Linked DNA regions of Elephas maximus indicus. The main gene of each other region encodes a partner of the protein of the gene in region 2 in a complex. Links are inferred from orthologs where the notes say so. Each region holds a gene or a part of one and is shown on either strand. Other genes may lie near its edges. The genes, in order: CDH5, PARD3 and PRKCZ.

Evidence for each region.
Region 1: the proteins of PARD3 (region 2) and CDH5 are in contact, whole or in part, in an NMR structure (PDB 2KOH), measured with the Mus musculus proteins. The link is inferred for Elephas maximus indicus from reciprocal best matches to the Homo sapiens genes PARD3 and CDH5. Residues at the interface, in NP_296369.2 of Mus musculus: Ala599, Gly600, Leu601, Gly602, Val603, Ser604, Val605, Lys606, Gly607, Arg609, Lys611, Lys622, Ile625, Asn655, Gln656, Met659, Arg663, Met666; in NP_033998.2 of Mus musculus: Tyr774, Gly775, Asp777, Gln779, Glu780, Glu781, Leu782, Ile783, Ile784.
Region 3: PARD3 (region 2) and PRKCZ share a complex: the UniProt entries of both Homo sapiens proteins name them as parts of the par polarity complex. The link is inferred for Elephas maximus indicus from reciprocal best matches to the Homo sapiens genes PARD3 and PRKCZ.

Annotation. Positions count from the first base shown.
Region 1 is NC_064839.1:32,890,991-32,898,955, forward strand, and holds the start of CDH5 (cadherin-5), read left to right. Parts: upstream 1-4,934; 5' UTR 4,935-5,046; intron 5,047-7,965. UniProt on the Homo sapiens protein: Cadherins are calcium-dependent cell adhesion proteins. They preferentially interact with themselves in a homophilic manner in connecting cells; cadherins may thus contribute to the sorting of heterogeneous cell types.
Region 2 is NC_064822.1:8,726,454-8,733,418, reverse strand, and holds the start of PARD3 (partitioning defective 3 homolog), read left to right. Parts: upstream 1-3,946; 5' UTR 3,947-4,030; coding exon 4,031-4,150; intron 4,151-6,965. UniProt on the Homo sapiens protein: Adapter protein involved in asymmetrical cell division and cell polarization processes. Seems to play a central role in the formation of epithelial tight junctions. Targets the phosphatase PTEN to cell junctions.
Region 3 is NC_064821.1:40,597,537-40,605,295, forward strand, and holds the start of PRKCZ (protein kinase C zeta type), read left to right. Parts: upstream 1-4,748; 5' UTR 4,749-5,016; coding exon 5,017-5,087; intron 5,088-7,230; exon of another isoform or gene 7,231-7,588; intron 7,589-7,759. UniProt on the Homo sapiens protein: Calcium- and diacylglycerol-independent serine/threonine-protein kinase that functions in phosphatidylinositol 3-kinase (PI3K) pathway and mitogen-activated protein (MAP) kinase cascade, and is involved in NF-kappa-B activation, mitogenic signaling, cell proliferation, cell polarity, inflammatory response and maintenance of long-term potentiation (LTP).

The DNA.
Region 1 (7,965 bases), on a different chromosome or scaffold from region 2:
AATTCTCCCCTTTTATATTGTTGCCTTTGGCCTCGGCTGGGCTTAATGGCATAGGTACAGGCCAGAGGAGGAGGCAGGCTTCAGAGTCTCCAAAGTTCTTGGAGATCCATTTCTCATGTGGCCCTCTCAGACAGGGTGTGGACAGTCACCACCATTTCACAGATAAGAAAGCCAAGGCAAGAAACACTGATTAGCAGGCAGTAGCAGAGCTTGTGATCACTGCCCTCACCTCTGTGCCCTCTGGCCTAGAGAAGCAGCTTGTCAGGACTGTGTGTAAAGGAAGAGTTAACGGGATCTGACATGGCCCTACGAGAAGGGAGCTTTAGCACAGGGACTGGGGAGGGTTTATTTTGTTGGGTCAGAACCTCTTGCTTTCCTCTTGATTCTCAGCAGCAGGCTGGGCAGGTGAGCCTGGAGAACTCTCAAGGCCTCCACAAGCCTGAGTGATGGGTTCCCGCCAATATGCCTTGGTTTCTCCCTGGGCAGGATCCTTCCAATGACCAGCTCAGATTCCCCCTCCCCTAGCTGGACTTTGTGCATAAAACCTACCTCAGGACAAGGGGGCAGTGTGTGCTGAGGGGCCTGGAAAAAGCTTGTCTTTGAGACAGAGAAGACAAGGAGCTATGGCTCCGGGACCCAGGCAGGCAGGGGTAGACGTCCTGGGCTCACCTGGTTCTGGTCCTGCTACTGCGCCGCCAAGCTCACAGCTAGTGCTGGAGCTGGTGTGTTTGCCCCATCAAGAGACAGGACAGGGTGGCCCCTGACCCACCTTCCTGCCCCGCAGATGGCCAAGGCTCCCACCCATTGTTCCCTGGGACACTTTGACAGGATGCAAGGAATGTGGGGACTGGAGACAGGAAGTCCTGGCTTCCGCAGGGCCAGGCTCCTACCAGACTCAGGCCTGCCCTCCAGACAGGGAGTTGGGGAACTTGGTCCCATCCTGCCCTGCTGGGCTTGCTGGGCAGCCCCAAGCCAGGCTTTGCCCCCTCTGCATCCCTGAGGGAGTGCTGGTCACTGAGTGAAATGGGACAGAGATCCCAGACAAAGGAGGAGAAAGGTGCTGCCCCGGGGCCTGGCCCTCCCTTGGCCCTGGTTGCACTCCCCAGGCCCCTCCTATACTCGGGAATACCACACACACACAGTCACATCATGGGTTGCCTTACATACTCCGTGTATGTCCTTACACACACACGTAGCCACACAGCTGCCCCACAAGCACACGCCATGCCCATGCTCACACCCTTGCCTGTGCCCCACTGTCAACATCTCTGTGGCATCATTGTCATGACTAACATGTATTGGGCACTTACTGTGTACTGGAGTCAGTTCTATATACTTTAGGTTCATCTTCTCAATCACTCCTTCCAGCATTCCCATGAGGAAGGCATTGCAATCACTCCCATTTTACAGAAGGAGAAACTAAGGCACCACGGGCCATGTGGCATGTCCAGGCTCAGCCGGGCTGTAATTGGCAGAGGCCGGATGTGCCCCAGCACATAACCCTCATATCTCCCCCACCCCCAGACCTCCCCAGCCCCCCACTACTCAGTACTCAGCACCATTGCCCCAGCAGCCTTCCCAGGATGTTGCAAAAGGAAAGTGAGAAACATCTGGGAAAGTGCTCAGCCGCCTCTCTCTCTCCCTCCCAGGGCCCCCACATAAGGCATTGTTCTCACTGTCGGCAATTCAGTCTCTGCTCAACCTTGGTCCTTCCTGGCCAAGGAGAGGCTGCCCTTAACTCCTCAGCCCACCACCTCCCTGACCACATCCTCGGTCACGGTGGCCTATGGTTCCCCATCCTGACCACAGCCCACCCAATAATGCTGTGACCGTCATTTTCTTCGTTGCCTTGATGATACTCCAGACAGCCCTGCACAGTATGAACTGATAACCCATTTCACGGCTGAGAAAAGAGGCTCAGAGAGGTTAAGTCAGCTCCCCCAGGACGCACAGCCAGTGATGGACCATGGTGGGACTTGAACCTGGGTCTGCCAATCCCCAAGCCTGTCCCTCTCCAAGCAGGGCATCACAGGGCCCCCTCCCCGATCAGCTTTTGTCCTGGCACAGACTGGGTGGGCACCTGTCCTTGCACACACACACGTACACACACACACACACAGCCCACATTGTTGCTTCCTTCTCCGGTTGCTAATCGGGTCTCGCAGACCATCCCGTTTCCTGCCTGCTGCTGGCTGCCTCCTTTGCTCCTGATGGCACTTCCTGATCACATGCCCTCCTGTTACCGCCTTGGCCTCGAGAGGGGTTGGGCCAGGGGCTGGACAGTGCCAGAAATTGGGCCTGGGATCTTCGGTGGGCCTTGAGGGGTACTAGCTTCCCCTCTTGTGGCCTGGACCCCCACCCCCAGGGCCTGAAGGCATGAACCTGCCTGGCCCTGTCCTAGTTTACAGCCAACAGGAATGAAGGGCAAGTTTTCAGGGCAGAGTCACTTCCCCACGGACTGGGAGTACAAAGGGAATTGACAGATGGTGCCAGACAGGGACTGTCTCCCTCTGCCACCAGCACTGAGTCTGAGACCCAGCAGGAAGTGATGCTCAGGCTGGGCAGGTCCCTGGGGCACGTAGTCAATGAGGACAGATACTCAGCACAGTCGGGGTGAGGGGAGCTGGCTGGGCACCTAGGACCTTGGGTAAAGAAGAACAGGGCACTGGCCTGTTCTGGTTCCCCTGCAGCCACCCAGGCTCCAGGCAGGAAATTACCTATTACCGTTATCCATTGCCATAGAGTCGATTCCGACTCATAGCGACCCTATAGGACAGAGGAGAACTGCCCCATAGAGCTTCCAAGGAGCACCTGGTGGATTCGAACTGCTTACCTTTTGGTTAGCAGCCAGAGCACTTAACCACTAAGCCACCAGTGTTTGCCCAGGCAGGAAAAGGCAGGGTTAATCCTGTGGAGGAGGAAACGCTGAGCTGTTGTTTGTTTATTCTGCCAACGATGATGGAATGAATGATGGAATGTGCTGGATCCACTCGAGTCCCACCTCGAGGACTGTTCTCCTTCCAGCAGGTCTCCCTTTTCTCTCCAGCATCATCTGTCTTCCCATGGCTGGATGTGCTCTGAACACACAAACATGCTGCCTTGGCCATCAGCTTAAAGACAAAAAAACCCTCCCATTTCTCCGCTCCCGTTCACTACAAGGCTTGGGAAGGAGCTGTCACCTCTACTGCCACACGCCCCTCACGAATTCCCTCCCCAGGCTCCCTTACTTGCTCCTCTCCATTCAGCTGCTCTGGTCAAAGTCATGGATGGCCTCTTCCAAAGCCACTGGTCAAGGCTTGGCCCTCCCTGGGCCCAAGCAGACCACATTCTCTCTTCTTGCTTGGCCCCTATGGCCCTGCCCTCTCCTGCTTTCCCCCCTTCCTCGCTGGACCCTCCTCTTCTAACAGATCTGCTGTCTGAGGCCTGGGGGCCTCTCTCCCTGTCAGCTTGTCCACTCCCGTGGCCCCAGGAGCCAGCTGTTAGTTCATGGCTTCCAGAAGTCATGTCCAGGCTGTGCCATGGCCAACTCGATGTTTCCACTTGGGTTCTAATTGGCATCTCAACCCTAGCCTGCCCAAACAGAGAAATCCTTATCCTCCACCAAATAAATATATATATATATATATTCTTCCACCCCATTCTCCACCTCCATACAGGTGTCCACGAACTTAGTGAGTGTCCTTGGGCAAGGCCCTCCCTTTCTGGGACCTCTGTTTGCCTAGCTGTATAATGGACTTCCCAACCATTCATCCATGGAAAAACAAGGGCAACTATGTAAAGGACAGACTCCCAGGCCCTGCCCTGGGGGATCCCAGATCTGCTGGTCTGGGGTGAGGCCCAGGTATCGATAGTTTTTGAAAGCTCCCCAGGTGACCCCCATGAGTGACAGAATCTGAACCTCCCTTCCCAGCTTCTTGACTGTCACAGGTTCTGGGCCCACCTTTTGCTCCACTATCTTCCAAGCACCTCACTGACTTTTCTTTACCTCAACAGCCTTGTGAGGTTAAGGCTATGATTATCCCCATTTTACAGATGAGGAAACTGAGGCTCAAGGAAGGACACGACTGGTTAACCATCACAACAAAAACAGAGGCAGGACACCTGGATCCCTGCCCGATATTTTGATACCCAACCAAATCCCACAATTCAGACTGGCTCCTTAGAGCTGGAACCCCCTCACGCCCACACCCACTAGGGAGAAGCTCATCTGGTCCCCTTAAGCCAAGAATGGCTGTTTCCCCTCTCCCCACCCAACCCACCCCCAGGGTCCCTCCGTCCTCCCCATCACCTATAAATCTGCTCCCCAAGCACCCCAGTATATCACAGGGTCACGGGGGGCCAGGTGGACTGAGGCTTGATTTCTGGCTTTGCTACAGCCCTGCTAATTGAATGTTGTTGTGGCTGTTTTTAGGTGCCATTGAGTCGATTCCAACCCATAGTGACCCCGTGTGACAAGTAGAACTTCCCCATAGGGTTTTCTTGGCTGTCATCTGCGGAAGCAGATCACCAGGTCTTTCCCCCATGGAGCCACTGGTGTGTTCAAACCCCAATCTTTCAGTTAGCAGCAGAGTGCTTAACCGTTGCACCACCAGGGCTGCTTTGCTAGGTGAATAAGTGCCTTAAACTTGTTGGGCATCAGTTTCCTGGGTTGTAAAATGTGGGTAATAACATTTTCATTCAGGGTTACAATGGGTGGTGTAGGTCCAGGGGCCCCCACGGACTAGGCCCTTGAGATATTGAGCTCAGGGGCCCAGGGATGAGGTCTGGAGTCAGGGTTCGAGTTCAGCCAGGTCCAGAGTTAGGCCTCCATGTGGACAGCCTATCTGGGCGAGGTGGCCGCCCACCTCGGGACCTGCCTATCTGCAATCGGCCCGGCCCTCACAAAGGAACAATAACAGGAAAACCTGAAGGGGCGGCAGCCAGGCCTCCCTTGCTGGCTGGGTGTGGCTCCCCCTGCCCCAGAGTCAGACAGCCGAGCTGCACAGAGCTCCACACCACATTCAGCCCTGGACAGAGAGCGTGACGGAACAGAAGCCCACAGGCACGGTGAGTGAGGGTCCCCACACCCCATTGTACCTCAGACCCACCGCCATATGCCCAAGAAGGGAGGGTCGTCAGCTTCCCCATCTCTAGAATGGCCGTGTCAGGCTCCCAAGGGAGAACTGCTCCTGTGGTGTAGAATGGGCCTCCCCCTGCTCAGCGTAGTTGGGGAAAGTACACTCAGAGGTGCTGTCGCAGGGCAGAAACAGGGGTTCTCAGGCTGGGTGAGAAGGTGAGAGCTCGACTGTCCCACAAATGGACTCTCCAGCTCAGTGTAACCCCAGGGCCCACCGAGCCTCAGAGGCCCACTGGTTTCCGTCTGTGCCAGTCTCAGAGAGGGCAAGATTCTTTCCAAATCACCCAGCACACCAAGGGCAGAGGATTGGCACCCACGCCTTGGCTCCCCCTCAGTGCCCCTTACCCCATGGGAGCAGATTCATCGAGGCCTGACATCACCCCAACCACAGCTGAGCTCTGTGTTGAAATTCAGGGAAGGAGGCCAGAAAGGAGCTCTGAGCCTTGTGCCCTCTCTGTCAGCCAAAGCCCCAGTTTCAGGATAGGCACACTGAGGCCTAACCTCAGCTCTGGGCACGTGGGGTGCTGTCTATGGGAATTCCCTATGCACTGTGGAGCTGTGGTCAGGAAAATGGCCTATCCTTTGTCCCCCAACACCCACACACCCACAGGCTGGACAGGAAGGACCCAGGGTCCTTACATCTGAGGGCAGCCCCCTGGGACAGCCTGGAGAACAGGCGGTCTGGGGCAGAGCTCAGCTTGGAGCCAGCCATCCTGGGTTCAGGCCCTGGCTCTACCGCTCACTCCCTATGTGAGCTTGGAAACTTACTCACCAGTGGCAACCTCAGTTTGCTTGTCTGAACAATGGGGATAGCAAATATTTTTGCAATTCATTGTGAGACCTGGAGTTCCGCGCATAGAAACTTCTTAGGCAATGGGGCTTCTTATTTTACCATTATCAACAGCACCACAAGGTAGGGATAGTCTTTCTCCATTTCTCTGTGGCAACAACTGAGATTTGGAGGAGTTCCGTAAGAGCTGGTGGGAGATCTGATGCAGCACCACATGGCTTCTTATCTCTGTCTTCTCATCTGTAAAATGGAGGAAAAGTCTTTTCATGAGCCCATTAAATGAGGTGAGTGGTGTCCACATCTGGCACTGGGAATGGCTCCAAGTAGGGAGATCCTTCAGGAATTGTGGCTGATTTCCCTGCAACCCCAGGGCTGACCGTGACTGTGAATGTCACGAACATTTGAGCGCCTGAGCACAGTTCGAGGCCACTAGACTGAACCCAGGCCCCATCATGGATGGTTCAGGAGCCCCCCAAGTAAGAGGGAGTGGGTGGAAGTGAGGGGGCACCAAGTCAGTTATTGCTTTGGGGAGCACTTGTCGGCACCTGCAAACTTCTGGGCACTGTGCTTGACCCCAGTGGAGGTGAGAGGGCAGGACCTCTGCCCTGTGTGGTGGCAGATAGGATTCTAACGGGACACAAAGGGCATCCTGGGGATGCAAGGCAGAGGACCTAGACAGGCTGGTGCAGCCGGAGGGCTTTATACAGGGAGCGGCAGAAGGGGCAGGAGGGCCGGTGATATGAGTACCAGCACAGTAGCTTTGGTTCACCCGTAGGCAGCGGGGAGCCCTGTTTCCCCTATCTGGCCTGTGTCCAGCCTGCCTGTGGGCCCCAGTCTGCAGGGCAGCAGATGACCCTCCGAGAGTCCAAGAGCTGCTGAACCCCCAGGCAGCCCCACCTATTCTGGCTTACTGGGGGGGAGGGTCTACTGGCCTTGAAGGGGTTAAGCCACCCGTCTGAAGCAATTGTGCAGCTGAACAAGGGCCGGACATGAAAGCAGGAAGCCAGAGGGGGCCACACTGATTTTCTCCCAAGTCGAATGACTCACAGCTCTGTTGCTGCCTTGGGGACACACAGTGGGCACAATAGCCACCAGCCCAGGAAAAATCTCAGGCCCTTCACCTAACATGGACCCATCCCTGCTACACCCATCACCTCTCTGCAGCCCCTCAGCAGTTCTGCAGCTGCTACAGATACTCCCATTTGACAGGTGGGACAACCGAGGCCAAGAGCAGCTGAGCAGCCAGTCTGAGGTCACATGGCTATTATGAGGTGGAAGCAGGATATGAGTGAGACCCAGCCCCTTCTGACCCCACAGCCCATGCCACACTCCATAGTGAAGTTCAGAGAGGGGAAGACCAAGAGGAATGACCCTGACAGTTTGAGTGACAGACTCGGCACAAGGACAAGCCAATGGCCTGATACTCCTAGGGAAGTAATGTTCTAGCAGACAGGCCCTGCACTCGGAAGCTTGGCTTCTGGCTGGGGAGATAGTGAAAACCTGCCTTGAACCAGGGCCAAGCTGGGGTTGGGTAGAGAAATCACAGAAGGCTTGCTGGAGGAAGAGCAGGAACCCTAGGTGCTGTGAGCCCCTCTGCTTTCTGAGTCTTAGTCTTCCAATCTCTCTAGGGCAATTGTCCTTAAGGTCACTCAGAAACCCCTAGACTGTCTGCCTCGGGCCTTGGTGGGAATGGTCAGGTCCTGGCAGGTGCAGATACTAGAAGGAGAGGGAAGTGGGCCTACAGAAGGGTCGGGGGAGGGCCAGGCAGGCGGTGAATGAGATTTCCTTCTGGAGAGGAATAGAGGGAAGGAGGAGGTGGGCCCAGGGCAGAATCAGGAAATGGGGCTGGGTGTAAGTCCACCAGTGGAGCCCACAGCTCCCAGGCTGCAGGGGATGGGGAGACGGAAGGTGGAGACGGCCACACACTTACTGAGGACCTACTGCATGCCTGGATTCCCACCCAGGATCTCCTTTAAATGTCCTGTCCACGGAGGCAGCTGTGGTTGCCTTCTTTACAGATGAGGCATCTGGGGCTCAGAGAGGGCAAGAGATGGGCCTG
Region 2 (6,965 bases):
GGCCTGGTGTTCTTGTAAAGGTTACAACCAAAAAAACCCTATGGAGCAGCTCTGCTGTGTAACACATAGGGTTGCCATGGGTTGGGGGCGACTCCATGACGGCTAACGGCAATGACTTTTAGCCAGAGCTTCCCATGTGGAGGTCTTCAGTAAATGTGTGTGGGACTGAATTAAAGTGAATTGAGTACAGCCTGAGTCGAGTCTTGCTTCCTCAGTTCTGGTCCAGGCCTGGTCACTGACTAGTTGTATTACCAGTCCACATATTTCTCTGAGCCTCGGGCTCCTCCTTGCTTTTGTCCTTTCCCTGATACCATCACCGTAATCATCATCACATGCTATTCTGTGCTGGTCTTTGCCACTCTTTGTCTACATTGTGGTAACTATATTGTGGCAGCAAGTATTAAGTATTTTATTTAATCCCCATGATTTATGAGATAGATATTCTCTGCTCCATTCTCCAGCCGATAAAACTTGAGGCTGGAGAGAGGCTGAGTGCCATGCCTAAGGTACTACTGAATGATTGAATCAGGATCGGAGCATGGATCTGAGCAATGTCTGAAGTACTCTGTTCCTGAACTAGGCTTTCAATTAGAATTATTTTCAGGAAGCCCAACTCTAAATTAGTATAATCTGCCCCCACCTCTCCAGCCCCCCCCCATGTATTTTAACAGAAACAACACCTATAATTATCAATAACCATTGTTCTGGGTCCAAGTATTAATATAAGAAACAAAAAGACCTCAGCAAGGGTTAAGTCATCATCGTTGTTGTTGTTAGGTGCTGTCGAGTTGGTTCTGACTCATAGCGACCCTATGCACAACAGAAGGAAACACTGCCCGGTCCTGCCCCATCCTTACAATCGTTGTTATGCTTGAGCTCATTGTTGCAGCCACTGTGTCAATCCACCTCCTTGAGGGTCTTCCTCTTTTCCGCTGGTGCTGTACTCTGCCAAGCATGGTGTCCTTCTCCAGGGACTGATGCCTTCTGACAACATGTCCAAAGTATGTAAGATGCGGTCTCGCCGTCCTTGCTTCTAAGGAGCATTCTGGTTGTACTTCTTCCAAGACAGATTTGTTCGTTCTTTTGGCAGTCCATGATATATTCCATATTCTTTGCCAACACCACAATTAAAAGGTGTCAATTCTTCTTTGGTCTTCCTTATTCATTGTCCAGCTTTCACATGCATATGATGCGATTGGAAATACCATGGCTTGCGTCAGGCGCACCTTAGTCTTCAAGGTGACATCTTTGCCCTTCATCACTTTAAAGAGGTCCTTTGCAGCAGATTTGCCCAATGCAATGCGTCTTTTGATTTCTTGACTGCTGCTTCCATGGCTGTTGATTATGGATCCAAGTAAAATGAAATCCTTGACAACTTCAATCTTTTCTCTGTTTATCATGATGTTGCTCATTGGTCCAGTTGTGAGGATTTTTGTTTTCTTTATGTTGAAGTGTAATCCATACTGAAGGCTGTGGTTTTGATCTTCATTATAAGTGCTTCAAGTCCTCTTCACTTTCAGCAAGCAAGGTTGTGTCATCTGCGTAACGCAGGTTGTTAATGAGTCTTCCTCCAATCTTGATGCCCTGTTCTTCTTCATATAGTCCAGCTTCTTGTATTATTTGTTCAGCATACAGATTGAATAGGTATGGTGAAAGAATACAACCCTGACACACACCTTTCCTGACTTTAAACCAATCAGTATCCCCTTGTTCTGTCCCAACAACTGCCCCTTGGTCTATGTAAAGGTTCCTCATGAGCACAATTAAGTGTCCTGGAATTCCCATCATAGCTGTCACAAACTATTGTGTAGAAATGTTGAATGTTGTAGCCAAACAGGAGTGTTATGAGCCTTACCTATGACTGTGGAAGGAATCCAGGACTCTATTTCTGGGTCTGCCTGGAGCTTTCTCTGTGACCTTGGGCAAGCAACTTCACCACTTTGTCAATACCTTGGGGTAAGATGGTGATGAGGACACACAATGCCTACTTATTGCAACTTCACTACTTTGTCAATACCTTGGGGTAAGATGGTGATGAGGACACACAACGCCTACTTATTACATTGTTTTGCATTGTTTTGCTAAGAAAGGTAAGAGCGTTGGTCAAGGGCTGCGAGATGGCAGTGTACTGTTTTTATCTAACAAATTGTACTATAGGTGGTGGGCGCAGTGTGGGATAGTGGAGAATGCAGGGATTTTGTCATGTTCCCTTTTTTAAAATGGTTGGTGGAGTTTCATGTATTGGTTGATAACCAGCAATTTCTGCTCCAAATGCTGAAATTCTCCACTCGAGCTCATGGGAGCTGTTACTACTTTTACATGTCCTAGCAACAACTGGCAGAAATGAATTTACTATCATTTGGGACAGACTAGCGTCAACAAAGAATCTTTGCTGACATTAAACATAGTAACAGAGTTACTAAGAAATCATAGCTCATAACTAAGACAGCGATGGGCTTCAGTTAGTTACTCTTCTTGACTTGGTTCACGTTCTTTTAAATTGTTCATCTCCTGCATGTAACTAATTACGTTGTTGCCTTCTCTGCCAGGGGTTTAAGTCCCTGCGTTAAGCGCTAGCGCATCGTTGGGATCCTTTTGCAGTTTTTCCCCAAGGCAGTCTGAGTATATTGTTCATAGATTTCCGTGAGGATTGTTTATGTTGCAGAAATTTTAAACAAATAAAACTATCTGAATTGCTGATGTATACAATTCTAGGTATTTAAGCGAGTGGATCGTCAGGGGATCGCAGGAAACTTCAAGGTAAATTGCGGCCTCAGGAGACAGACCCGGCCCAGTCAGAGCTTCACCAATCTCCCCGCCCCCCCCAGCAGATGGATTAATTTTTGCTTTTAATGCATAACAATCCCTGCCTGGCCTCGCAGCGCAGCGACCCAGAGCAGAAGCCCCGTCAGGCTGTGGGCCGGGGACAGGCGTTCGGGGTGCCAGGATCCATCTGCGGGAGGAGAAATCTCAGCTGGAATATCCCGGCAGAGCCCCGTTCCAATCTCCTGGGGACATGGTTACTGCTCTTCTCAAAACGATCTCCGTGCTTTGAGCCTGATGCGCCGAGTGTAAACTGCTTTTCATAGAAACCATTGCACCCGAAACGCCCCCGGCTGAGGAGGGGGATTAAAAGTGACAAAGAAAGGGGGAGGGGGTTTTGGAGAGACCTCTGGGGGCTAGGAACTGGCGATCCCCAAGCAGGGGCCGGAAGGTCCGAGTGCAGTACCGAAGTGTCCTCGGGTGCGTGAAGGGGGCTAGGAAGGGAGGGACCCGGCGCCGGGGCTGGGGGTTCGGTGGGTGAGACGGGGCTGCTGCCCGGCTGCCAGCTCGCAGCCGCCCGGCGCCTCGGCCTCCTACCTCCTGCCGCGCCGCTGAGGGAACGGGATAGAAAAGCAAAACCCCAGCCTGCAACGGTGGGGTGTGGGGTGGAGGGTCCAGCCGCCCCCCTGCAGTCCGGCCACCGCCCACGCCCCTCCGGGAGGGCGGGGACGAGGTGAGCGCTGGGCCGTGGCAATGCGCTCCGCCTCCATGGCGCGGAGTCCGCGGCCCGCGCCGCGCCTCCCCCCCTTGCCGCATGCGAGCAGTGTTTTGTGCCTCGGCGCTGCTCCTCCTCCTCCTCCCCTGCGCGCTCCCCTCCCCCAGCGGCCGCGACTGAGAGCCAGCGCCGGAGAGCCTGAGCCGCCGCCGCCGCGGAGCGCGCCAGAGACGCCGAACAGGTGGCCGGAGGCTGCGGGCGCCGAGGCGAGGGCGGAGGGCGGAGGGCGGCTCGCGGAGAGCAGCGAGAGCCCCCGGCCGCGCGGGCCTCCGGGCGCCGAGCATGCGAGCCGAGCGCCCCCCTGGCCGCGCCGCCGCCCCGCGCCCCTAGCCACAGCCGGCTGCGCCCGGGCGCCTGTGGTGCCGTCCTCGGCCCGCCGCCGAGCGGGGGCTCCGCCGCGCGTCCCCCGGGGGGTCCAGCCGCCCCGGCCGGGTGGCCGTTCCAGCCGAGGGCTCAGCGAGGGAGCGCGCGTGGGACCGCGGCGGCGGCAGCATGAAAGTGACGGTGTGTTTCGGGAGGACCCGGGTGGTCGTGCCGTGCGGAGACGGCAACATGAAAGTTTTCAACCTCATCCAGCAAGCGGTGACCCGCTACAGGAAGGCCATCGCCAAGGTGAGGGGCCGGGGCTGGGCGCGCGGGGCCGCTGGAGGGGTGGGTGGGGGGTCGGCGGAGCCGGGAGGGGAGGGGAGGGAGTGCCGGAGGAGGAGGAGGAGGAGGAGGAGGAGGGAAGGCGCTCGGGATCAATATGGCGCTTCCTGGAAAGGGGGAGGAGGGAACACCGAGGGGGAGAGGCGGGGAAAGGGAAAGTGCGGCGGGCCGGCTCGGCCTGGGCCGGGCGCCTGGCCCGGGGTCCCGGCGCTCTCCCTGTCCCGGAGTTGCCGGGCGGGTTGGAAAGTTTTCAGCTCCGGGTGGGACGGCCGGAGCGAATGGGGCAGACTGGCAGCCGAGGGAACTGCATCATGGCTGCGCCGGGGACCCGCCCCATGGGCCGGGGGCGACGAGAGCGCGGGCACCGTGGCCGGACCCTGCGCTTCTCCCGCCCGCACCCGGGGCCAAGCGCGGCCCCCCGCCGCCCCTCTGGGCTCCCGGCTCGCGGCTGCAGCGGCCGGTCGCGCCGCGGGGTCGCTGGGCAGAGGCGGGCAGTGCCGCGCGGGCCGGCGCCAATTACAGGCTGCCTCCTGGGGCCCCTGTAAGAAGGAGCAAAAGCCCCAAATCAAACGCACCGAGGGCACCGGGGCCAACCTGGCGGGACGCCTCTCTCCCAGGCCGGTGGCTGCGGCCAGTTGAAATCCAGCCCCAGGCCTTTCCCCGATTCAGGCCCTGCGGGCAAAGGCTGGGGAAAATAGAACTTTTTTTTGGTGTGAGAAGAGTTTATTTATTCCATATACAACGGAGAGGGATTGCGTTGCTTCTCTCCACTCCTTTTCTCCGGTGTTGGAGATGAGAAGTGGGGGAAAGAGGGCCAAGGTGAAGAGCCTTTTTCTCCCTACCGACTGCGGGTAGGGGTGGCCCGGCGCGTTTTGGGTCGTGCTGGGTGGGAGGAGAGTCTCTGGCTTGGGGTCGGGAAGGCGGTCCCAAAGGGGGACACCCTTTCCCAATCGCTCGCGAGCGTTTGCCGAGCAGAGACTCTTCGCAATGAAGAGGCTCGGGTGCAGGGCTCCTTAAAGAAGAACCACCCTTGAATCATTCACTGAGTTAAAAGTTTTCCTGCTGGGAACTCAGCTTTTATGTTTCTGGAACTAGTTCCATGTGGTGCCGGCACTGCTGAGCCAGGGCCTGATTTCGGAGTCGAGTAGATTTCCCTTTTTCTTCGTGGAGTGATAACATTGTTTCCACGTAACTACATTCCTCTACAATGTGTCAGAAGTGAAAAGGCATTTCGTTAAATTGTTTCATCGGCTGTGTCTGTGTCTGACAACGGCCCACGCTCAAGTTTCTCTCAAGCACCTGAGGATACTTCCTTTGGAAATTGTATGGTAACGTTTGGTGGGAAGCATCTCGGCTTTTGTTTTCCCCATTTGTTCCTGATAGCGGAGTGCTCTGGCTCCTGTGGGTTTTGGATTAGCAGATAAGGGAGAAGGTGGCTTTGCCAATCTGAATGTGTAGAGGGTGGATTCAGAGCTCAGTGTGGCATCTTCCAATTCTAAAATTAATTTGGAAGAAAAAAACTTTCTCATTATTTTAAAGTACGCATTGAGAAAAAATCTAATGCAATAGCATACATTTGGTGTTTTAAAGATAATTTGGGGGAGAGTTTAGGAACCTGACATGTTGACTTTATTTAATAGCTCTAAAATCTTCCTTGTAGTTGGTTGAACCCTTTTATGGAAAGTCAAATAAAATTAGTGGAAATTGGGCATCTGTTTATCTTGCAAAGCTGATGGGGGGGGAGGGAACGGCTTTCTAAATCTATTTAGCATCTTGAAGGATTGTATATGAATGCAGTTTATGATCTCTGTATTCTAAATCAGTAATGGTTGCCCATGTACTTTGAAAACCAACAACATAAGTTGTGAAAGGAAAAAGGAATACGATAATGTGTACCGTGTACCGTGCAGTGTGCTTAGGTTCCTGAGAAGGGAGCAGGTGGTAAGCATTTCTTTTCAACTTTACTCATTTTGCATCGTTAAAACTAGTCTTATTTCATGATGCACACAGTGCACACTGATTGAATGGCCTGCTTGGGAAATACAAATGCATCTCCCAAACAAGTCAATAAACAACAAAAATCTGGTTGAGTTACTCATTCATTGCACACAAATTTTAAGGCATTTAATATGTCCAAGACACTATTCTGGGTGCTGGCCATTCAGGGGCTCCCACTGCCTGCTTTGTAGAAAATGGATTGCAAGTGTCTAGGACAAAAGGCTCTGAGGTCCTCCAGGTGAAGCAGGTAGTGGTGTGGAGCAGCGTGGATAGAAGAGAATGTGTCTGATGTGTTAGGAAGTGCAGTTCAGAGGCCTTGGTGATAGACCTGTTACAGCTGCTAAGCAAAAGGTTGGCAGGGCGAGCCCACCAGCCGCTGGAGGAGAAAGATATGGCAGTCTGCTTGCAGAAAGTTTTACAGCCTTGGAAACCCTATGGGGCAGTTCTCCTCCGTCCTATAGGGTCGCTGTGAGTTGGAATCGATAACAGTGGGTTTGAGTTTTTTGGTTGGTGATAGATCTGAACCTTGTTCTTGAATATTAGTGATCAATGCTTCACAGTGACCTGGCCGGGCAGAAGCAGTGCAGTTTTCTTAAGGGAGCCTGCCTGGCAAGTCTTCACCAAAGAGAAAAGGCATGTTGCTGAGTTCTGAAGGGTAAGGTGGAAGGAAGGGTGACGACAGCACTGGGGTTGGATATGGATGAGATGGAGAAGTCAACAATGATTCAGGGGTTCCCAGAGTTATTTAAATGCTCTTCAAGTGCGATGCATAGTTCGGTAG
Region 3 (7,759 bases), on a different chromosome or scaffold from region 2:
CGTGCCCCCCCCAAACAATTACAATAGTAACATCAAAGATCACAGATTGTAGATCACCACAACAGAGATAAAAATAATGAAAAAGTTGGAAACATTGTGAGAATTACCAAAATGTGACACAGAGACATGAAGTGAGCACATGCTGTTGGAAAAATGGTACTGATTGGCTTGCTCAACACAGGGTTGCCACAAACCTGGAATTTGTAAAAAATATAGTATCTGCGAAGCTCAATAAAGTAAAGTGCAACAAAACGAGGTACGCTTGTGCACAGATACACACACATGCACACACAGATGCTCCAGTACACACAGGTACACACATGTACACACATGCACACACAGATACTCCAGTACACACACGTACACACAGATACTCCAGTACACACAGGTACACACATGCACACACAGATACTCCAATACACACAGGTACACACATGTATACACAGATAGTCCAGTACACACAGGTACACACATGCACACAGAGATACTCCAGTACACACATGCACATGCACACATAGGTACTCCAACACACACAGGTACACACATCACACAGAGATGCTCCAACACACACACATACACACACAGACACTCACACACATACACACACATATCTGGCCTTGACGGCAATGGTGAAAGTCAGCCTGCTGGGTAGAGATGTTTGCTGAGTCGCCTGGGCCAGAACTGATGTATACCCTGGAGAAGCAGATGCAGCTCACTCAGCTGTGGGAGGGACAGGGGAGCAAATGATAAGCAGAGGGAGGCCTGGAGTGTGTCGGGGTTGGGGGCGGAGGGAACCAAAATAAACATTAGCCAAATGAATGAATGAGTGCAGTGAATGTTTGTTATACCAACTCAGTTTCTCCAAACTACATGGTCCGTGATAAAGAAGGGAAACATCTGCTCCCCCATCTCGTCCCACAGCTGCGTGTGCCAAGGCCTGTTGGCAAGTGTTCTATGCTCTTCCTGTGACCCTTGGGTCAGCCCACACCTGGAGGGATAACATGCCTGACCCCAGTGGCTCAGCAAGCCCTCTTCCTGGACAGTCTGCACCATGAGCTGGCCCAGTGTAGGTCCACCAGCCTCAGTGAGAAAGGTGGCTCTGGAAACCAGGCATTGGGGTCATGGAGAGGTCCCTGGTCCCCACAGGCCTGTCTGCTGAGTCACCTGGAGCATAAACACTGTGTGCATTCTCTCATCTAAAGAATCTCCAAGTCCTTTGAAAGGATCATCACCCGGCCCTTTACAAAAGAAAATCAGATGGTGACCAATACCACCTTCCACAGCCACACTCCCAGGGGCTGGCCAAGGCCCTGTGTCCTCTGCCGCCACCAGGGCTCTCCACTTCAGTGCAGCACCCTTCTGCAGGTGGACTTGGGGAACGCCGGGGCTGGAACCAGGCCTGGCTGGCCTCCTGAGGGGGCGGGGCCAAGGGGCTTCCCACCTCTCTGCTCTTCAGTGCTGTTGAGGTTTTATACCAAGCCTGTGTTACTTCCATAATCAGTTAAAAAAGTATTTTTTTTTTCTATTTGGAGCTAACAGGTGTTCCAAACCAAAACCAGACCCACTGCTGTCCAGTTGATTCCAACATAGCAACGCTATAGGACAGAGCAGAGCTGCCCCATAGAGTTTCCAAGGTGTGTCTGGTGGATTTGAACTGCCGACATTTCGGTTAGCAGCTGTAGCACTTAACCACTATGCCACTCGGGTTTCCAACAGGTGTTAGTGATTACAAAATATGACGTCTTTGTGGGAAACTTGGGAACTGCAGAAATGTCTGGAGGAGAAAATGACCCTCCCGGATCCTCCCCAGGGCTCTGCATTCGACCTGCCTGCGCCTCCTTTGGGGGTTCATCTCAACTTTCCATCCCAGGAGGCTGCGTCCTCTACACCCGTTTTTACTCCGCAGTCTTCGCCTCCCTGCAGATGTGATCTTCTCATCGCTGACTGCCTGCACCGCCCTGGGGGCAGAGAAGGGGCGGGGGCCGAGGAGTGGCAGGTTCCCCCTCCAGGACCTGGCCAGGCCTGGGCGCACAGGGGCTCGGTTTCGTGACACGGGTACACTGGGTGCGGTGAGGCGGGGTGCGAGGACTGTAACCTGTCTCCTCCCCATCGACCCTCTCGGGTAGGTCACCCCTCCTGAGGGTCACACTCAGGGTTCCCTTTGGGTGGAAATGGCTCTAGTCGGCTACCCTCTCCCTCCCCAGCCCTGGGGCCTGAGGTCCTAGGAGGCCTACCAGGTTCCAGCATTCAGGAGGACCCGTTTACCTACTCATTCATGCATCTGTTCATTCCACTGCTTGTCAGATGTCTGCGGAGATGGCAGGGGATCCAGAGGGGTCCCAGGCGAACAGAGCCCCACCCTCAGCTGACACCCGAGGAGAGTGGTTGGTGAACGTGGAAGCAGATACCCTGTGAGGCTTCGCCATGGCGCCGCTTGCAGGAACCCTGAAGCCCCTGGGCTGGACACCTACTGGTCTGTCCGTCTGCCTGGGGCCCTAATGGGTGTGGGCCAAAGGCTCGGCACTGGGGGGCCCGGGGAAACTCCCCAGGGCTCACCCTCCCTCCCTGGAGTGGGATGACAGGACGGTTTGGCCTGCTGAGGAAAGCAGATGTCAGATACCGCCCCCAGGAAGAAATGTCTAGGGATGGGCGGGCAAACGACCCCAGCAAACCCCCAGCCCCACCCCGCCGGAGCCTGTGGGACCACTGACTGGATCTAACCCCAGCTGGGGGCTGGACATGGCCAGAGGGCAGCAGAGGAAGAGGGCTAGCTAGGAGTGTGTGTGGAGGGGGGGAGGGGCTACAGTCAGCAAGCCCTGGAAGAGGGGAAGGTACCTCCCAGTGAGGCCTCCCACCTGGAATAGGCTCCTGACCCCCTCTCCCCTCCCCTAACCCCGCAGAGCACAGCCACTTCAGGGTCACTAACGGTCCGTCAACCTCCCACTGTGGCACCCAGCTGGGGGCTCCACGGATCTGAACCCTCCCCATGGTGCCCAGGTCAGGCAGCTTCTATCCTCCTCTAGCTTTGTCCCATGAGGATGGGGGCTGGCAGTGGCCCAGGAGCCACCTTCCAGGACAGAGTTCCCATCTGGAGGTCTCACCCCAGCTACGGCTTCCTATTGGTAAACGCCTTCTGGGAAAGGTATGGCCTTTGGGTTTGGGTGGGGCCTTGGGAGGGCGTGTCCAAGAACTAGAATGGAGGGGGCCTACCTGCCTGCAGTGGGAGGTGAGCCTCAGGCCAGGGCTTCTCCCTGACCTCTCTACCCTCCTTCCTTGCCTGGGCAAGCTTTGTTCCAGTGTCCCTGAGGCAGGAAGCCAGAGGCCTGCACGGAAGCTGGGCTTACTGACCCCTCCTGGCTGGGCACCCTTCACTGGTGCACTCAGCTGATTCCCCTCTCATGACGGCCTCTGCACCCTTTCACCCCCAACCTACAGGGATGGAGCTCAGTGCGCCCAGCTGAGAAGACCGGAGGAGGGGGGACATTAGGAAGAGACTCAAATTACCTGTGGGTTTTGGCCTTGTAGGGGTGCTCCTGGCAGAGGGAACTGCCACTGCAAAGGCCCTGAGGTGGGGCAGCAAGGAGGCTGGAGTGGAGTAAGTCACGATGAGGTGGGGGAGATGAGCGTCTGGATACTGTAGGGCATGGTAGGGAGGGGGCACATAAAGAGGTGGCTTTTCCTCCCAGTGTGATGGGAACCAGGTGGGGGGGGCTTGAATATGAGATGGACACAGCCTGATTTATGTTTTAAGAGGGTTCTGATGCTACCATGTGGAGAACTGACTGGGGTGGGGGGAGGGGTGGGGCATGGGACGAAGTCCGAGGCTCCTGCAATAATCCAGGCAAAGGTGCGGCTTGGACCAGGTGGTAGCAATGGAGGTGATGGGCAGTGTCTGGATTCTGGAAATATTTTGCAGATGGCGTGATGAGGGATGTAAGAGGCAAGAGTATCAGGTGTTTGACATAGTCTGGAGTTCAGGAGAGCGCTGAAACCTTGCAATGGTATTTGGGGTTTTTTTTAAGCCTACGGGGCAGTTCCACTGTGTCCTACTGGGTTGCTACGAATCGGAATCGACTGTAGGGCATATAACAAGAAGCCTATACGAGAAGCTGCAGGGCCCGAGAAGAGTCCGAGATCAGGCACCGTTCACGAGCTGAAGACCAGGAGGAGCGAGAGGAAGAGCAGCAGGAGCGGTGGGAAGGTAGGGTTTCTAGAAGGGACCTGTTGGAAAAAAAAAGCCTGAGAATTGACCACTGCGTTTAAAACATGTCACCGGCGCACCGCTCCCCGCTGCTCCTTAGACCGGCGGCAACACCCGGGGGGTCCTGAGGCTTGCTAACCCCGACTGCTGGAGTTTCGATTCCATAGGTCTGGACGGGGCTCGAGAACTTGCATTTCCAACAAGTTCCCGGAGGCGCCCGTTTCCCGGAGGAGCCTGGCGCCGAGGGGGCTCTCAGGCCCCTCCAGCCCGGCCCCCAGTCTCACGTTGCCGGGCAGAGCCGGGCCACGCGTGCTCCCATTGGCCGCAGGTGGGGCCGCGCCCCGCCCGACAGGTAGTCCGTCCTGCGCCGCGGCGATTGGGCCGCGGCCGCGGAATCCCCCGAGGATTGGCTCAGGTGGCCGCCCGCCGGCGCCCTCATTGGCCGCAGGTGCCACCGCCCCCGCCCCGGGACGACCGCGCCCCGCCGATTGGTCGCCGGCTCGGTCTCGGGTCGGCCATGTTCGGACCCCCGCCCCCGTGGGCCCCTGACGCCCGCACTTCGTGCGCGCTGCCGCTCGGCCGCGCGCCTCCGCCCGGCCGCGCCCCCATCCCCGCCCCGCGCCCAAGTTCCAGCAGAGTTGGCTGGGCCAGCGTCCGTCGGCGGCGCGTCCCTTCGTCCCGCGCCGCGCACTCCCTTCCGCGTTCCGCCGCTGGCCACACCTGGCACTGCTGCGCCCCCGGCCAGGTGCGCCCCCAGCCATGGCCCGAGCGCCCGCACCACCCGAGGCGCGGCCCTGACGGCCGTCGGGAGCGCCATGCCGAGCCGGACCGGCGCCAACATGGACGGGAGCGGCTGCCGTGTCCGCCTGAAGGCGCACTATAGCGGGTGAGTTCGCGCCCCGACGGCTGGAGGAGTCGGAGCGCGAGCGGGCGGCGGTCGGGGCGCGGAGACCGCCGGAGAAGCCCCTGCCGACCCCGGGCCGGGAGCTGCGGCCGCGATGCGGGAGGACAGCGAGGCCCTTCGGTCCCAGGTGCATCCCGGGAGGTCCCGACGGGCAGCGCCGAGAGGCGGCCCCGGGAGCTCTGGAACGTCACCCGCGGGAGCCTAGCGGACAGGGCGGGGTTGGCCTGGCTCCGGATGGCGGAGCCCGGCTAGAGAGCGCTGCTGGGCGAAGGCGGGTCCCTGGCCGCCCCGGGTCCGCGCCGTGCCGGCGCCGCGCTCCAGCACTTGGGCTTTACCGACTCGTACTGGCCGGAGGACCCCGCGGGGCGAGTGCAGGGGCGGGGGAAGCTGGCGTTGCTGGGAGTCTGGCAACCTGGCCACATTGCTGTTGACATTTCCAGTGGAAATTTGGCTATGGACATTAGCCTACAAACCTTTAAGGGCTAAAATTTTTATAGAATTGTGAACACTTCTGGAAGTTTAAAAAAGATCGCGATTTTCTAAACTTCTCCATAGTTTACGGGACAGCTCAGTTAAAAAAAAAAAAAAAGTGTAATACGGCCGGTGAAGACAGGTGCAGCGAGCGTGCAGATGAGTGCGAGAACCGAGGGACCCTGGCGGGCCGAGGCGCGGTCTGTTGGGGGCCTTTCCAGCAGACAAGACTTTCGCGTCTTCGTCCGCCTGGGACGGCCTGGACTCGACCTGGGTCTCTGAAATGGGACTAGTGGGCGCCTCACAGAGGTCGGTGACCGAGCGCGGGTCAAAGGGCTGCCCCTGGCGCTGGGCAGCCCCTGGCGGAGTGAAGAGGCATTGTGCCCAGATTGCCGGGCTCCGTGGCATGGCAAATGGATCCCACCGCCGCCTTCCGCGCGGCGGGGACACCGGGTGAGGGAGGAGTGGGCGCATTGGATCTGTCTCCAGGAGCCCGGAGCTCGAACCTGGGAGCTCCCGGAGGTGCTTCTCCATGTCGGGAGGGAAGTGGAGCCAAGCCGAGGGCCGGCCTTGCCCAAGTCGGTGAACCTGGTAGTCCGGCTTTAGCAGCTTCCCTTTGCTTCAGGGCGGTGGCAGCAGGTTCAGGCCATGGAGGCCTGGGAGCGAGGGGTGGCTTCTTCCCGAGGCCGGGCCCCGTCCTGGGTAGCCCTTTGGGGGTCCGTGATTCCCGCACCTGGAGAAGGGCCTGCCGACTCCTGACCTTGAGCGCAGCCTCTTCTGGTCTCTAGTCAGGTCCCGAGGGCGAGTTGGCCCCAGGTTTGCTGTCCAGACTCCGTGGTCTTCATCTCTTCTCTGAGGCCACTTGCTAACCCCCGTCTCTTCTGCTGGCCTCAGCCTGGGCACCTGAAAGTTTGTGGGAGGGGCGTTGGTGGCTACAGAGCAAGAAGGAAGTTTTCTTGGGGAGGGCCTGGCCCAGTAGCTCCCTGAGAGGTCAGAAGGTGCTGTCATCTGACCCCAGAGAGTGGGGGCTGATTAAAATGTCGAAGTTCTGGCCCTGGGACTTGTCCAGCGTCCTGGCTCTCCTGGTTCTTAAGCTCTCTGTTGAATGTCTCATCAGAGGTCCGAGAGGCTGCCCCTTCCCAGCGAGAAAACCAAACCCAGCATGGAGTAGATTCTGACTCATAATGACCCTATAGAAGGACACAGACAGAAGGATCCCGCAGATCTAGCAACAAGTAACATTTTTAAAAATTAGCGGGAGCAGAGGGTTGACCCAGCGCACCATGATGAGAACACATCCACTCCGGAGCTGCCCCTCCACCATGGGGCATGCAAGACCTTGAGTCTTTCGTCAGGACCAGTTCAGCTGGCACAGAGATGAGACACAGGCACCCAAGTAGTCCTGGGCAGAGTTGGAGGGCAGTGCCCCAGGGATTTCTCAGCTGAGTGCTGCAGCAGCTCCTGCCCACCCCATCCCAGCGCTTCAGGCCCCTGGGGAGCGCTTTGGTTTCTAAGCACCCTGTAATGAGACCTGCTGACTCCAGTTTCAAGGCTGAGAAGGCCACGCCCCCTTCCTCTTCCTTCACCCCGTCCCCTCCCCCTCCCCTCCCCAGCCCCTTCTAGTTCCTCTCTCCACTCTCAAGCCCCTTCCTTCTCTCCTCTTCCCTCTCCTCTTCCTCATCCCCCCTTCATCTCCCTAAGTCCTCTCCTCCCTTCTCCCCTCTCTCCCTTTTCCCATTCTTCCTCTCGACTATCCTCCAGGTTCCCCCTCTCCCTTCCCTGTCCCTTTCTACCCACTTTCTTCTCCCTTCTCCTTTCTGCCTGAGGCCTTCCCCAATCCCAGCCACTTCAGCCCTCCCAGCACCTGCTTCTCCTAAAGCTTCTGCCTTGGTGTCTCTTTCTGGGGACTGGAAACTCTGAGACCTGGGGCACTGGGGATGGGGAGACCCGGTACCAGAGCTCAGCTACTGCAGTGTTCTGGAAAGTGCCCACCAAGATGAGGTGGCCACCAGGTGAGAGGCTGCCACTGGGATGGAGGTGTCCTGGGGACACTGCTGTGGGGCTCCACAGTCAGGAGCTGAGGATGGTACACCTCAGAGACGCTGGTCTTAAAAAAGGGAGTGTTTTTCAGCCATCCGCATGGTGATGGCCCCCCTGGGTACCCTCCAGAAGCTTGACCCCCC